3 linked regions of the Sus scrofa genome follow. Each later gene encodes a partner of the first gene's protein in a complex. Links are inferred from orthologs where the notes say so. Each region holds a gene or a part of one and is shown on either strand. Other genes may lie near its edges.

The links.
Region 2: RBBP7 (region 1) and CHD4 share a complex: the UniProt entries of both Homo sapiens proteins name them as parts of the nucleosome remodeling and deacetylase (NuRD) repressor complex. The link is inferred for Sus scrofa from reciprocal best matches to the Homo sapiens genes RBBP7 and CHD4.
Region 3: RBBP7 (region 1) and CDK2AP1 share a complex: the UniProt entries of both Homo sapiens proteins name them as parts of the nucleosome remodeling and deacetylase (NuRD) repressor complex. The link is inferred for Sus scrofa from reciprocal best matches to the Homo sapiens genes RBBP7 and CDK2AP1.

The regions. Positions count from the first base shown.
Region 1 is NC_010461.5:13,309,956-13,313,558, forward strand, and holds part of RBBP7 (histone-binding protein RBBP7), read right to left. Parts: intron 1,040-3,603; coding exon 894-1,039; intron 1-893. UniProt on the Homo sapiens protein: Core histone-binding subunit that may target chromatin remodeling factors, histone acetyltransferases and histone deacetylases to their histone substrates in a manner that is regulated by nucleosomal DNA.
Region 2 is NC_010447.5:64,070,307-64,074,497, reverse strand, and holds the start of CHD4 (chromodomain-helicase-DNA-binding protein 4), read right to left. Parts: upstream 2,872-4,191; 5' UTR 2,634-2,871; intron 2,229-2,633; exon of another isoform or gene 1,927-2,228; intron 1,785-1,926; 5' UTR 1,707-1,784; coding exon 1,607-1,706; intron 1-1,606. UniProt on the Homo sapiens protein: ATP-dependent chromatin-remodeling factor that binds and distorts nucleosomal DNA. Acts as a component of the histone deacetylase NuRD complex which participates in the remodeling of chromatin.
Region 3 is NC_010456.5:29,629,890-29,633,954, reverse strand, and holds the start of CDK2AP1 (cyclin-dependent kinase 2-associated protein 1), read right to left. Parts: upstream 2,872-4,065; 5' UTR 2,617-2,871; coding exon 2,562-2,616; intron 2,169-2,561; exon of another isoform or gene 2,059-2,168; intron 1-2,058. UniProt on the Homo sapiens protein: Inhibitor of cyclin-dependent kinase CDK2. Also acts as a component of the histone deacetylase NuRD complex which participates in the remodeling of chromatin.

The DNA of each region.
Region 1 (3,603 bases):
GCCTGGCCCTCAAATGGGTTTCTCTGGGCAGAGATAGTCCACAAGTATCCCTGTCAGTTGCTGCCAAAGAGAAAGCACATCCTGTGTGGACCTGGGTGAGACTTGTGCTGGACCTCCCTAGACTCCCTGATGCCTTATCTTTTTCCAGCTGCTTTTGTTCTGTATTCTTCATTGTAACAAATTCCAGCTATGAATATAATGTGCTACTGAATCCTGCGAGTCCTCCTAGCAAAACCACCAAACTTGGGTGGTGTGGGAATACCCAAACAGGGGAATGTACATTTGGATGGGGGGATGGGGGTCAAGAGCTTCCCTAAAACATCCGCTATTGAGCTGTGGTGCAGGCTGGCAGCTGTAGCTCCGATTGGACCCCTAGCCTGGGAACCTACATATGCCGTAGTTGCGGATATAAAAAGACCAAAAAAAAAAAATCCACTATTAACTGGTGTATATGCCTGACTTTTTCCTATGCATAGCAATATTCTTAGTGTTACCAAAATAGTTACTATAATCACACACACCAGTTACTCAATTTATCTTGGACACCTTTCCATACCAGTGCATACAGATTTACCTCACTCGGTGTATGTGTTTATGAAATTTCAGAGTTCTCTCATTCGTGGTAAATGCTGCACAGTATTTCAAACATACCACAATTTGTTTAAATGACTTCCGATGAACTAACAATGGAGTTGCAAGGTTGAGCCTAATTTTTCAATCCTGCAAATAATGCTACTGTCAAATCCTAACGCACATGTGGGTGAGAAGTTGTGTAAGATAAAGTCCTAGAAGTTAAACCGCTGGGCCAAAAGCTATTAGGACAGAGTGTTAATAACATATCATTAGAGGCCTACTCCTTTAGACACCGATATTGGAATATACAGTATACCTACCACCCTTCTCACTGTCACAGTGGGAAGCATCAAACTGTGCATCATCATTCGGAATATGGACCCGAGCAACCACGAGATGATTCTGCTCATCAGATGTGTGAGTCCCCAGCACTAGCCAATGAAGGGCATAATCCTTTCCTTCCGGTCTGTTTAGGAAAGAAAATAAGTCATACTAATCCTACTAGAAATCAGTTGCTAACAAATTCAGTCCATCACCGATCCCTGAATTCATAAATCATGACCTCTCACCTAACCCCTCCCCCCCCCCTTTTTGGGCCGCATTGGCGGCATATGGAGGTTCCCAGGCTAGGGGTCCAATCGGAGCTACAGCTGCCAGCCTACACCACAGCCACAGCCACACCAGATCCAAGCCGAGTCTGCGATCTACACCACAGTTCGCCGCAACACCGGATCCTTAACCCACGGAGCGAGGCCAGGGATCGAACTACAACCTCATGGTGCCTAGTCGGATTTATTTCCACTGTGCCACCAACGGGAACTCCTCAAAAAGCCTTTAATTTTAATACTCTAGATGCTTCTGCTCTCTCAATAAGAGGCAACAAAGTAGAATGAAAGAATAAAGGGTTGAGTCAGAAACACTGGGTTTAAATCCTGGCTCAAACTAAAATTAGCTATATGCAATTCCTTAAATCACAGCTTCCTTACAAGCCTCAGTTTCTTCACCTAAAAAACAGGTTATGAGTGCAAACAGCATGATGTAAAAACCCCTTATTTATGTTTACGGTGCTTAAATGAGCATTCTCATTTTTACGGAAGAAGGGTCTTTGTTTCCCTACCCTTTATAAACTCACTTTGAGGCTGAAAAAGACACTGATGCCTCCTGACACCCTGGTCCAAGCAATGATTGTGCACCTGTATTTATTAACAATGCATTCCCATTCGTATTATCTAGAATAGCAATTTTCACCCGTGTTCCATGGTCCCAGCTCAGTGAGGGGGACTGAGAAGTAGGGCTCTGAGCCCCAACAAATAGCAGACGACTTAAGACTATTTATGTATAACTAAATTTCAGTAGTACAAAGGCTTCAGTGGTTTAGAAAAAAGGCTTAGGGATTTATCTCCAGGCATGTAACTTAGTAATAACTGAAAAAATACAAGACAAAATTTTACCAAGATTTGGCTTGAGGTAAAAAAAGAGCAATAAACACACAAAAACTCCAAGAACAGAATAAGGCATCCATGGCTTAGCAACAGCAGCTTATGTGAAAAAAAGACACGGGTCTGAAATAAAATACGTTCAGTGGGCAAAGATGATGTGGCTCTCGAAGAAAGTAATTAATTTCATCTTAGATAAACTTACACAGGGAGGGAGAGGCAATACGCATGAGCACTCACCCACCTATTCTGAACTGGAAAAACCACACTTAGAATATTAGGCTCTAGGCAATGTACTTTAGGACTCAGAATGAAATCTTTATAGGGAATAGTGGCTTCAAATCAAAGTGGACTTCAACACATCTCATATGAAAACCATTTGGAAAGAGATTAGGAATACTTGAAAGGCCCCACAATGTTATGGATGACATAAAAGGAAGAAAATGACTTGTTTTTTATGGCATTAAGCAGAAATACTAAAACCAACAGGTACAAGTTACATACAGGTAAACACACCCATTCACATAGGAGCTTTCTAAGGAATGGGAGTGCAAAGTCTGGAGCATCTTAATTAAAAACTCCCTTAGACTCTAAAATTCAGTTATTCCAGTTTCCCCTGACTCCATCATATAAGGATTTTTCCTTTTACTAAAAATCCTTTTTTTCATCTCCATAATTAAAATACAAATCTGTTTTCTTGAGTCAATCAATATCACACCATTTTCCTCCAAAACTGGATGCACCTAAGGCTGCAGAAGCACTAATGATAAAAGACCTTGTCCATTCCCAGGCCAGAATCCTTGGACCACTTTGAATTTTGCTACGAAATTCAACCAACAATCACAGATTATTACAAGGTTATTCTCAGCAGCACTGGCGGAAGCAGCAAAAGACTGAAAACAAATATCCATCAGCAAAGAAGTGGTGACAAAAACATACCCATAAATCAAATTCTATGGAGCCCTCAAAACAAGAGCCCATATCTAAGCATGTCAATATGAAAAAGTTTCCATTATGAACTCCTAATTAAAAAGTCAAGTGAACAACTTGCTACCAGAGAAAAAGACGGAAGGATGTCGCATGTCCTTCTTCACGCCGGGCAGGATGGATAAGAAAGCAAATAAGGACTGCTTCTGCTCTGGGTGAGGGAACGAGAGAGAGGACGTGGAAGAGGACCTTATTTTTTTCACTCTATGCAGTCTGTATCGGAACTTGCGTAATTACACAGCTTTTTAGGTAGAGAGTTCCGGCTCGACATGTTTAAGAAATTATTCAAGGGAGTTCTCTTGTGTCACAGCAGATTAAGGATCTGGCATTGTCACTGCAGTGGCTTGGGTGGCTGCTGTGGCACAGGTTTGAATCCTGGCCCAGGGAACTTCCACATGCTGTGGGTGCAGCCAAAAAAGAGAAAGAGAAAAAGGGGTGGGTGAGTGGGAGAGGGACAAACAGAGATGAAATAATGACCCGCCATTTAAATAATTTCTTAGAGGTACCAAAATAAAAAATATAAAAGAGTCAAATCAATTTTCTGGATTATCACCTAACTGAACTGAAGGACAACAGCTCCACGAGGGCAAGTAATCATTCGGAAGCA
Region 2 (4,191 bases), on another chromosome or scaffold:
ACATAAGACCCTCAAACTTCTCAGGCAGATGTACTGATACGGCAAGCGACAAACTGGCTGAGATACAGGGGAAGATTTGGGAAAGGGGCAGGAATGAGGTGTGGCAAGTGGAAAAACTGGGTCACGCTACAGCTTGGGGCAGAGTTCACCGTGGGAGCCTGCACAGCTCCCAATCAACACAGGGGCAGCCCCAGACCAAGGGGCCAATGGGAAACCAAGATGTGGAACCAACGCTGGCTGGACGGCCCGGCTACTCCTCATGCCCCTCAAAGCCAGGATGGAACCACCTCACCACTACCGCCATTCTCCACCCCACCTTGGGCCACAGCACAGAAATCTGCCACCTCGCCCTACACAGTGATGAGACTCAAGCCTAAGTTTCTCATCCCCACAGCTGAAGACTCAATGACAAGACTGACCCTCTCCTAAATGGCCTCGGATTGAAGCGAAGACTTCCAACTTAGAAAGTGCCAAAGTAGAAACATCTCTCCCAGACCACCTCAACTTGCAGTTGGAACTATGGAGAGAGAAGGCAAAAGTGAAAAACATTTGATGGGAAACAAATACAGGACTAGCAAGCTCCAGAATTAAAATAAAACCACAAACAGAAAAGATGAAGAAACAGCACGTAGAAAAAAACAAAGCTACGAAAAAAAGGTCAAGGAAACAAGGAGGTGACTTAGCTAAGGGATCTGAAGACAGACAGAGAAGAGAGACATTCACTTAGACACATAACACCAATCATCACTTGAGGACAAACAAGAGCCATTCCAACCAGGCAGGATGCATAACCATTCGGGTTTGGCCAGTGCAAGGACCCACCCCAAAACACAGACAACACAACCCCCAACACACCTACACAAACACCTCACACCACCAGTCCAAACCCCAGGCTACCTGCACAGGGCAGAACCGTCTAGAGAAAAAAGCCAGGATTAAGTCCACTTGCCCGAGGAAGAGAGGTGCCCAGAGTGTCATCTCTCTTCTTTCTGTCCCTTGGAGTATACCCTGCAGGCTACTACATCCCACTCCTAGCCCCACTCAAAACATTCCAGCAATCTGCCTGGCTAAGAGCACTCTAGATTCCAGCTTCGGAGCGCAATTCAAACTTCACACAGTTGAAACAGCACAGAAAGCCGGTAACTGATCAGAAGCTAAAAATAATCAGAGAGTAACCAGCACTCCCTCTTTCTTTTCCACAGCAGCAATCACAGGATCCTACCGGCAGAGATGCCCGGCTGGTCTCCTCCAAAAGCGATCCTCAACCCAGCCCCTTCCCCACTGCACAGCCTCCAGGGGTCCCAGCCACCTGCATTCCTCCAAGGACCCACAAAGCCTGCCAGCCCAGAGAGCTCCCTCAACCGGGAACTGCAGAGCAATTCCCGAAGGCAGTGCAGCAAGCTTGCATCTCGGTCCGCGCAGCCCGGGAGGCACATGGCTTCCAACCCCCTCGCACAAGAGCTCCGCAGAAGAGAACCACTCCCTTCGGATGCCCTCCACCTCTCACTGCACAGAGCAAGCCCAGAAACTCAACCCTGCCTCACGGAGCCACTAGGGAGGGCCCAGATGGCTCCTTCCTGCCCGGGGCCCTTGGGGAAGATGTTACCTGGGTGGGGTGGGGGCAGGCTGTTGTTCAAAAGTGCATCCATATCCTCCTCCTCACTGCCCGCTGAGCAGGGGGACGGGGAGCCCAGGCCCGACGCCATCCCCTTCCGCTCCCGGCCAGGGAATTGGCCCAGCTGCTCCTGCCTGCGGCCTGGGGCCCTCGACACTGGCCCGAGTCACTGTGCGGGGGAGGGGGGAGAGAAAGAGAACAGTCAGTGACGCGCACGGCCCCCTCCCCCACCCCGCCGCGCTTTCCGCCCACCCCCGGCCCCCCCACCCCTCAGCCACCCGAGCAGGGCACCCGAACCACTCAGGCTGAACTTAGTTCCACACTCCCAGGGGCAGCCCGGAAGCCGGCTCCCGGGCTGGAGCCCCCCAGACCGGAGGAAGCGGCGCCCCCGAGGGCAAGCCGGTGCCGGCGTAGGGAGGGGAGAAGCCGCTGAACTGAGCCGGGCGTGTCGGGGGAGGGGGTCCGAGTGGCCGCGGCGCGGGGGGGGTGGGGGGAGGATCGGGGGAGGCGGCCGGCGGCGAGGCGCTTGGGGACACAAGGTCACTTGGGGGTGGGGGGGCGACTCCCTGCGCCTGGGGAGGGGCCAGTCCCCAGACAGGGCAGCTCTCCAAAGGCTGTCCTCTGGGACAACTCGGGTTCTCCGGAGAAGCCGCGGGGACGAGGGGGCGTGGAGGCTCGGCGCTCCGGGGGGCTGGAGGCAGGGGCGTGGGGGGCCGGGGCTCCCACCAGGCGGGGGGCCGGGCCACGTGTCCCGGGGGGCAAGTGAGCAAAGGGCGAGGGGGGCGCCGGGCATTGTGGGAGGCAAAGCCCGAGGTGGGAGTCGCGGAGAGCTAGAGTCGGGCAGGGCGAGGGCGGGGGCTGGGCGCCCTGCAGGGGAAGGAGAGGCAGGGTCGGCTTCCCGGGCAGGGGGCGGTCTGCGGGTCCGGGGACGCCCGAAGAGAGGCTGGGTGGAGGGATGACCCTCGGGGCCGGTCGGGATGAGAGGGGCTTCTGTCTGGGAACCCCGCGCTCTCCTCACCCCGGAGCCGCCGCAGGTCGCGCAGGGTCCGGCCGGGTGTCACTCCCGCTCCGGCTCCTCCTCGCCGCGGCCGAAGGGGGGAAAATGGCTCCGGCTCCAGCGTCGCCTCTTAAAGGGCCCGAAACACCGGCCGGGAAATCCCACCGCACAGGCCCCGCCCCCCCACGGACAGCCCATAATAACCTCAACCAACTCCAACCCCCCCTCCACTACCGCCACCCTCCTCCCTAGGTCTCCCGGGCAACCCCCGCCCCCTCGTCGCTCAGCAACCACTGGCCACGCCCCCTTCGAGCGCGCGCGCGCGTGTCACCCGGGCAACCACCCACCTCCTGGCCATCCCATAATACACACGGACACCACCACCACCACCACCACCGTACCACCACCACCACCACAACCATCACCCCCCCACGCGCACGCACTCCATACACATATACATATATGCCAGGGATGTTGACATCTCATGATATTGCAGACCTTTTGCAACTAACACTTTACCCCTCCCCTAGACATCCCATAATAGCCATCCTTTGCCAACTTCTTCACTCTTGGCCCTAATGCTAACATCCCATAATAATTCGTCACCTCTCCCTCCCCATGGCCATCCCATAATAAGCACCCCTACCCGCTCTTCATGCTCACATCCCATAATACTCATCCCCATCCCCCACAGACATCCCATAATAACCACTCTTCATCCACCCCCAGTTTGATATCCCATAATAGTCAGAAACTCACCCCCCCCCAACAACGGACACTTCGGCCTCTTCCCACTTCCCACACACATCCCGTAGTAATCAGTCTCCCACTTTCTGTACTGACATCCCATAATAACCAACCCCCTGGGGAGCTGCCCTCAGCCCCTGTGGGCTAGAACCTCAAAACTCGACCCCAAGGCTTCAGACGTTCATTCCCACTCCACAGCCCATAATAACCACTCCTCCTCTATCAGAGATATCCATAATGATCAACAGCCCTACAGTCACCTCACAGATGGACATCCAAACTCCTTTCCTCTAGCACTGGAAAGATATCCCATAATTTTACTCCCCCACCCACACCCTGACATCCCATAATAATGACAAAGAACCTGTGGTCAAGCAAACATACAATAATACTCCCAACACAACCCAGAGTCAGGTCCCATAATGCTCATCTCTACCACCCCTATACCTTTCCAGTCAGGCATCCCATAATATTTATACTCATCCCTCCCCCATCTCCAGAGGCTGTCAGTCTAAAACCCTAACTCCCACACCAGCAAGGGTGAAGCAGGCTATCCACATTGCCCTGTCCCCGCCCCAACTTGTACACACCTTCAGCCCTTAATGGCCCAAAGCAGTATCCTGGCACAAAGTCTCTTGATGTCTAGGACAGACTCTAGCTTTCCTCATCCATCATTTTCAGACATGCAGGAACTGGACTGAGCCCCACCCAATCCCACCAAAATCCAGATGTTCTCCAGACACTTAGCAACACTTACCTCCAGTTAAATTTTGAGTAAGACCCACCAAATACCAAGCTGGTCAGATGAGCCATTCACATAAAGTTCAGTTCA
Region 3 (4,065 bases), on another chromosome or scaffold:
CAAGGGCCTGGACTAGGAGCCAGTTCAGCTGTGTGACTTAAGGCAAGGCCCTTCCCTCTCTGGGCCTCAGTTTATCCGTCAGTTTGAGGCAATGGTTCCTAACAGAATGTCTAAAGGCTCTAGCTCCTACTCCTCCGCAATGCTGGGGTTAGGTCTTAGGGGAGCTCTGGGAAGAGGGAGGAAGGAGAGCCCCCACGTTTTGGTTAGGGGTGTGGAGGGAGGGGGAGATGGGAAACAGCCCAGGGCTTGACTTGCCCTGGGTGATGTGGTAGGGACCCCGAATCAGTGGCCTCACTTGCTGTTGGCGGGGAGGGTATCTGTGGCCCTAGGGAGAGTTTGCAGAAGGGCCCTGAGTTCCACTCATGCCCACTCCTTCCCGCAGATACAGGGAGGGCCAGCGGCTGCCGAAGGCCACGGAGAAAACCAGACTGGGCGTGAGCACGGCTGGCCGGCCGTCTCGGAGCATCGCAGACAATGTGCGCAGTGTGCGGGGGACCAGGGAGGGCCCAGAGCTGAGGGAGGGATTGGCAGAGGCCAGCAGCTCCTGGGGCCAGGCGCGGCTCCCCACCCCCACGCCAGACAAAGAGCAGCCTGGGCCTGGGGAGCTGGCGGCCTTCCCGCCACTTGGGGCGCCTGGGGGGGCTCTCTGGCGGGGAGGCAGGGGCTTTGTCTAACTCAGCCACTGCCACTGCCGGCCAGGCCGCGGCTTGGCAACTCGCGAGCAGGAGGCAGGGCTGGAGGGCGTGAGGGATGATGACAAGGAAGCCGGAGGAGCGGCAGCGGAGAGTCCATCTTGGATGCAAATGGCAGGGGGAGATCGGGCTTTCCAAAGGGGTCCACAGGGAGGGGAGCAGCCTGCCACAGATCTGGGGACCTCAGCACTCCTCCTGGAGTTCACCAGAGGAGAAAGAAGAAAATCTGTGCACAGGTGCTAGCCAGCCCAGAACAGGACTTCAGGGGTGCTGAGTGGCTGCCTCTGCCACCGTGACCCCAGTCCCCAAAGGTCCCAGTTTAGGGTCCCTGCCTCAGCTGTACCAGGGCAGGCCTGAGATATCCCACCTGTACAGGCAGCAGCAAGACCCTCCATCCTTACCACAGTCAGATGAAGGAGGCAGTGAGAAATACTACAGGCAGCAAAGCTTGTCTTTATAAGGTTTGCAGACCCCAGAAGAGGTGAGAACATTTGAAGAGAAAATAGTGGCTGTTTGCTCTTGAGGCTTAGAGCCCACATTTGACCAACTTAGCTATCCCCCACCCAATCACATCCTGAATCTTAACCCTTTCCACTCCCCAATCTGTGTCTAAGAAGTTAAAAAATAAATAAATATTTATTTATTTACATGCATTGCTTTTCTGGGTCCCCTATAGGATTTTTGGAGTTATGGAGTCAACCATTTGGAGACAAGGCTCAAAACTTTCGGACAACTGCCAGCGTGGCATTTCGGACCAGAGACGCCAGTCTCCTCCCCGCCAATCACACCCCCCCACGCCCCCACGCGCCTAGCTTTTTGGAAGTTTGTTTCCCACCAAGAGTCCAAAGGAGAAGGGCTATAGTGAAGGGAAAGAGCAAATCACCCCCGAACCCCACAATTTTACCCTCCCCTCCCCCCGGTGCCTTTCGTCCTTGGGAGGAGACCCTGGACACAGCCTAAAGCTGCCTGACAACTTCTGGAGGAGTTTCCTGGGACCGTCCAGTTCCAGCCCCAAGGAAGGGAGAGGACGGCCCCTAGGCTTCTGCGGGAGGGGACCTTCCAAACCCAGAGTTGGGGGCTCAAGATGCGGGGCCCCGAAATGCGGGCCCCAGGCCGAAATGCCGCCCCCACCCTCCGCCTGCAGGCACTCCGAAACCCCGGGTCTTCAACTTCGCTCATTCTGCCGCACACGCCTGAGGGGACCTTGCCGCGAGCCCCATTTTGGGCACCCCGCTCCCACGCGCCAGGCCGAGCCGCCACCGATGATGTCCCCTGCACCGCCGGTGACCCCAGCGGCCCCGGGCCCTCAGGGCGGGCTGCACTTGGCACGCTCGCCACCCCGCAGCGCTGCCGCGCGTGGCCTAACCTTGCTCACGTGCACGCAGCAGTCTCGGCCCCCGCCCGGGCTTGACCCCCGCTCCCCAAGGGCGGCCCGCGCCCCGCTCCCGGAGCCCCGCTCCCCGCGCGGCCCGGCCGCTCCCGACTCCCGCCGGCAGGGGCCCTCGCCGAGCCGCCCAAAAGCCGGAGGAAAACGGAGCCGAGAAAGCCTCCCCCGCCCTCGCTCGCCGCGCTCCCCGCGAGCCCTCAGCCGCCGGCGTGGGGGGGACCGCGGCGGCAGCCAGCGCCCCGGGCCCCGGCCCGGCCCGAGGCCCGGCGCGGCACAGGGCGCACCAGCGAACTTTGGCGGCGTGGGCGCCAGAATCATGGCGGCGGCGGCGGCGGCCCCGCTGCCCCGGGCCGGGACCCGGTGCCTGCCACCCCCGGCCGCCGCGGGTCCCCGGGAGCCGGGGCCGGGGCCGGGCGCGCGGGCCCTCAACTTGGCCGCACTTGGGGCGCGGCGCACGCGGCCCGCAGGGCGCACTCACTTACCGGCGTTGAGGGAGGCGGCGGGCATGTGCGCGGTCAAGTTCGGTTTGTAAGACATCCCCCCGAGCGGCGGGGCGCGCCGGGGCGCAGCGGGGCCAGGCCCGCGAGGGCGACGGCGGCGGCGAGGCCGGACGGCGGCGAGGCGGCCCCGGCGTCCGTGCGCCCGTCCGTGCGCCCGCCGAGCTCCCGCGCACTTTTTGTTGTTGACGGCTCGGGCCGCACCGGCAAATATGGCCGTCCCTCACCCTGACACCCGCTGCAGTATATCACCCATACATCGGGCGGGCGCGCGGGCGCAGGGGCGGCCGCAAACTTTGAGCGGAGCCAGCGGGGCCGGCCCGGGCCGGGAGGGGGCGGCCCGGCGCGCCGCGGCCCGGCGTCAGGGGGCGGCTCCGCCCGCTGCCGCGCCCCGCGCCTCCGGGCGCGCTCGGCGCCCGCAACTTGGCAAAGTTTGGGGGGCTGGGGTCCCGGCGGCGCCCGAGGCCCGCGTGGGTCCCTTTCTTCTTCTACGCAGGCGGCGCCTGAAGATTTGTTCTTTTACCGATTAATTTTTTTAATAGCTAGGTAGGATTGCAGAATTACTTTTTTCCCCCTGGACTGTGGGGGCAGGGATGGAAAATTACCTGGAGAAAATGGTGGCGAGTGGTATTTTTAAGCGCGTAGATCTTTCCAGACGCCAAGGTCTGGCTACACCCCAGAGTAAGAACAACCAATTTTTGACATTGATTTCAAATAAATTTCACGTCCCTGTCGGTATTAAGTGGTTTTAACCCTTTAGGGGCCTAGACACCTTTGAGACTGTACAAAAGCCAGCAGCCTCCTCCCCTGGAAAATACACCCGAACATTCACACAATTTTGCATCTTAACACATTCAGATACTTAAGAAGCGCCTACTGTGTGCGGTGCACTGTTCCAGGTGCTAAAGATACAGAATAAACTTGACAAAGTTTCTTCTCTCCTGGAGAATTTTTTTGCAATTTTTGACTCTCCTCTACCCCCACCCCAGCCCACTTCTCAGATCTGACTGAAACACAATCACCAAATGTATTTTGCATTAGGTGATGAAGCTTTTGAAGGTATTATTTCTTGGAGTTCTGCTTGAATAGTAAATCTTGTCAAAATACAAGAGATGCCCACCCTTTTCTGCCCTTTGTAATCGCCATGCTTTGCCGAATTTTTTTGATTAGCCACAGACATTCAGATACATCCGGATCTACTGAGGAAGGCATCAACCTTTTTGCCTGAAAGCAAAGGGACACCATCCATGCCTTCCCTCCATCCCTTTAGGAATGAAGGTACAGGTGACACTCCCTTCTCAGCACCCCTTGTGATAAGCTTTAGGCTGGTTCAGCCAAGAATGTTCAGTGATTCTGCTGTTAGGCACCGGGGACTATATCCAATCGCTTGTGATAGAACATAATGGAAGATAATGTGAGAAGTGTGTGTAAGTATATATATATATGTGTGTATGTATGTATATATGTATGAATGACTGAGCTCTTTGCT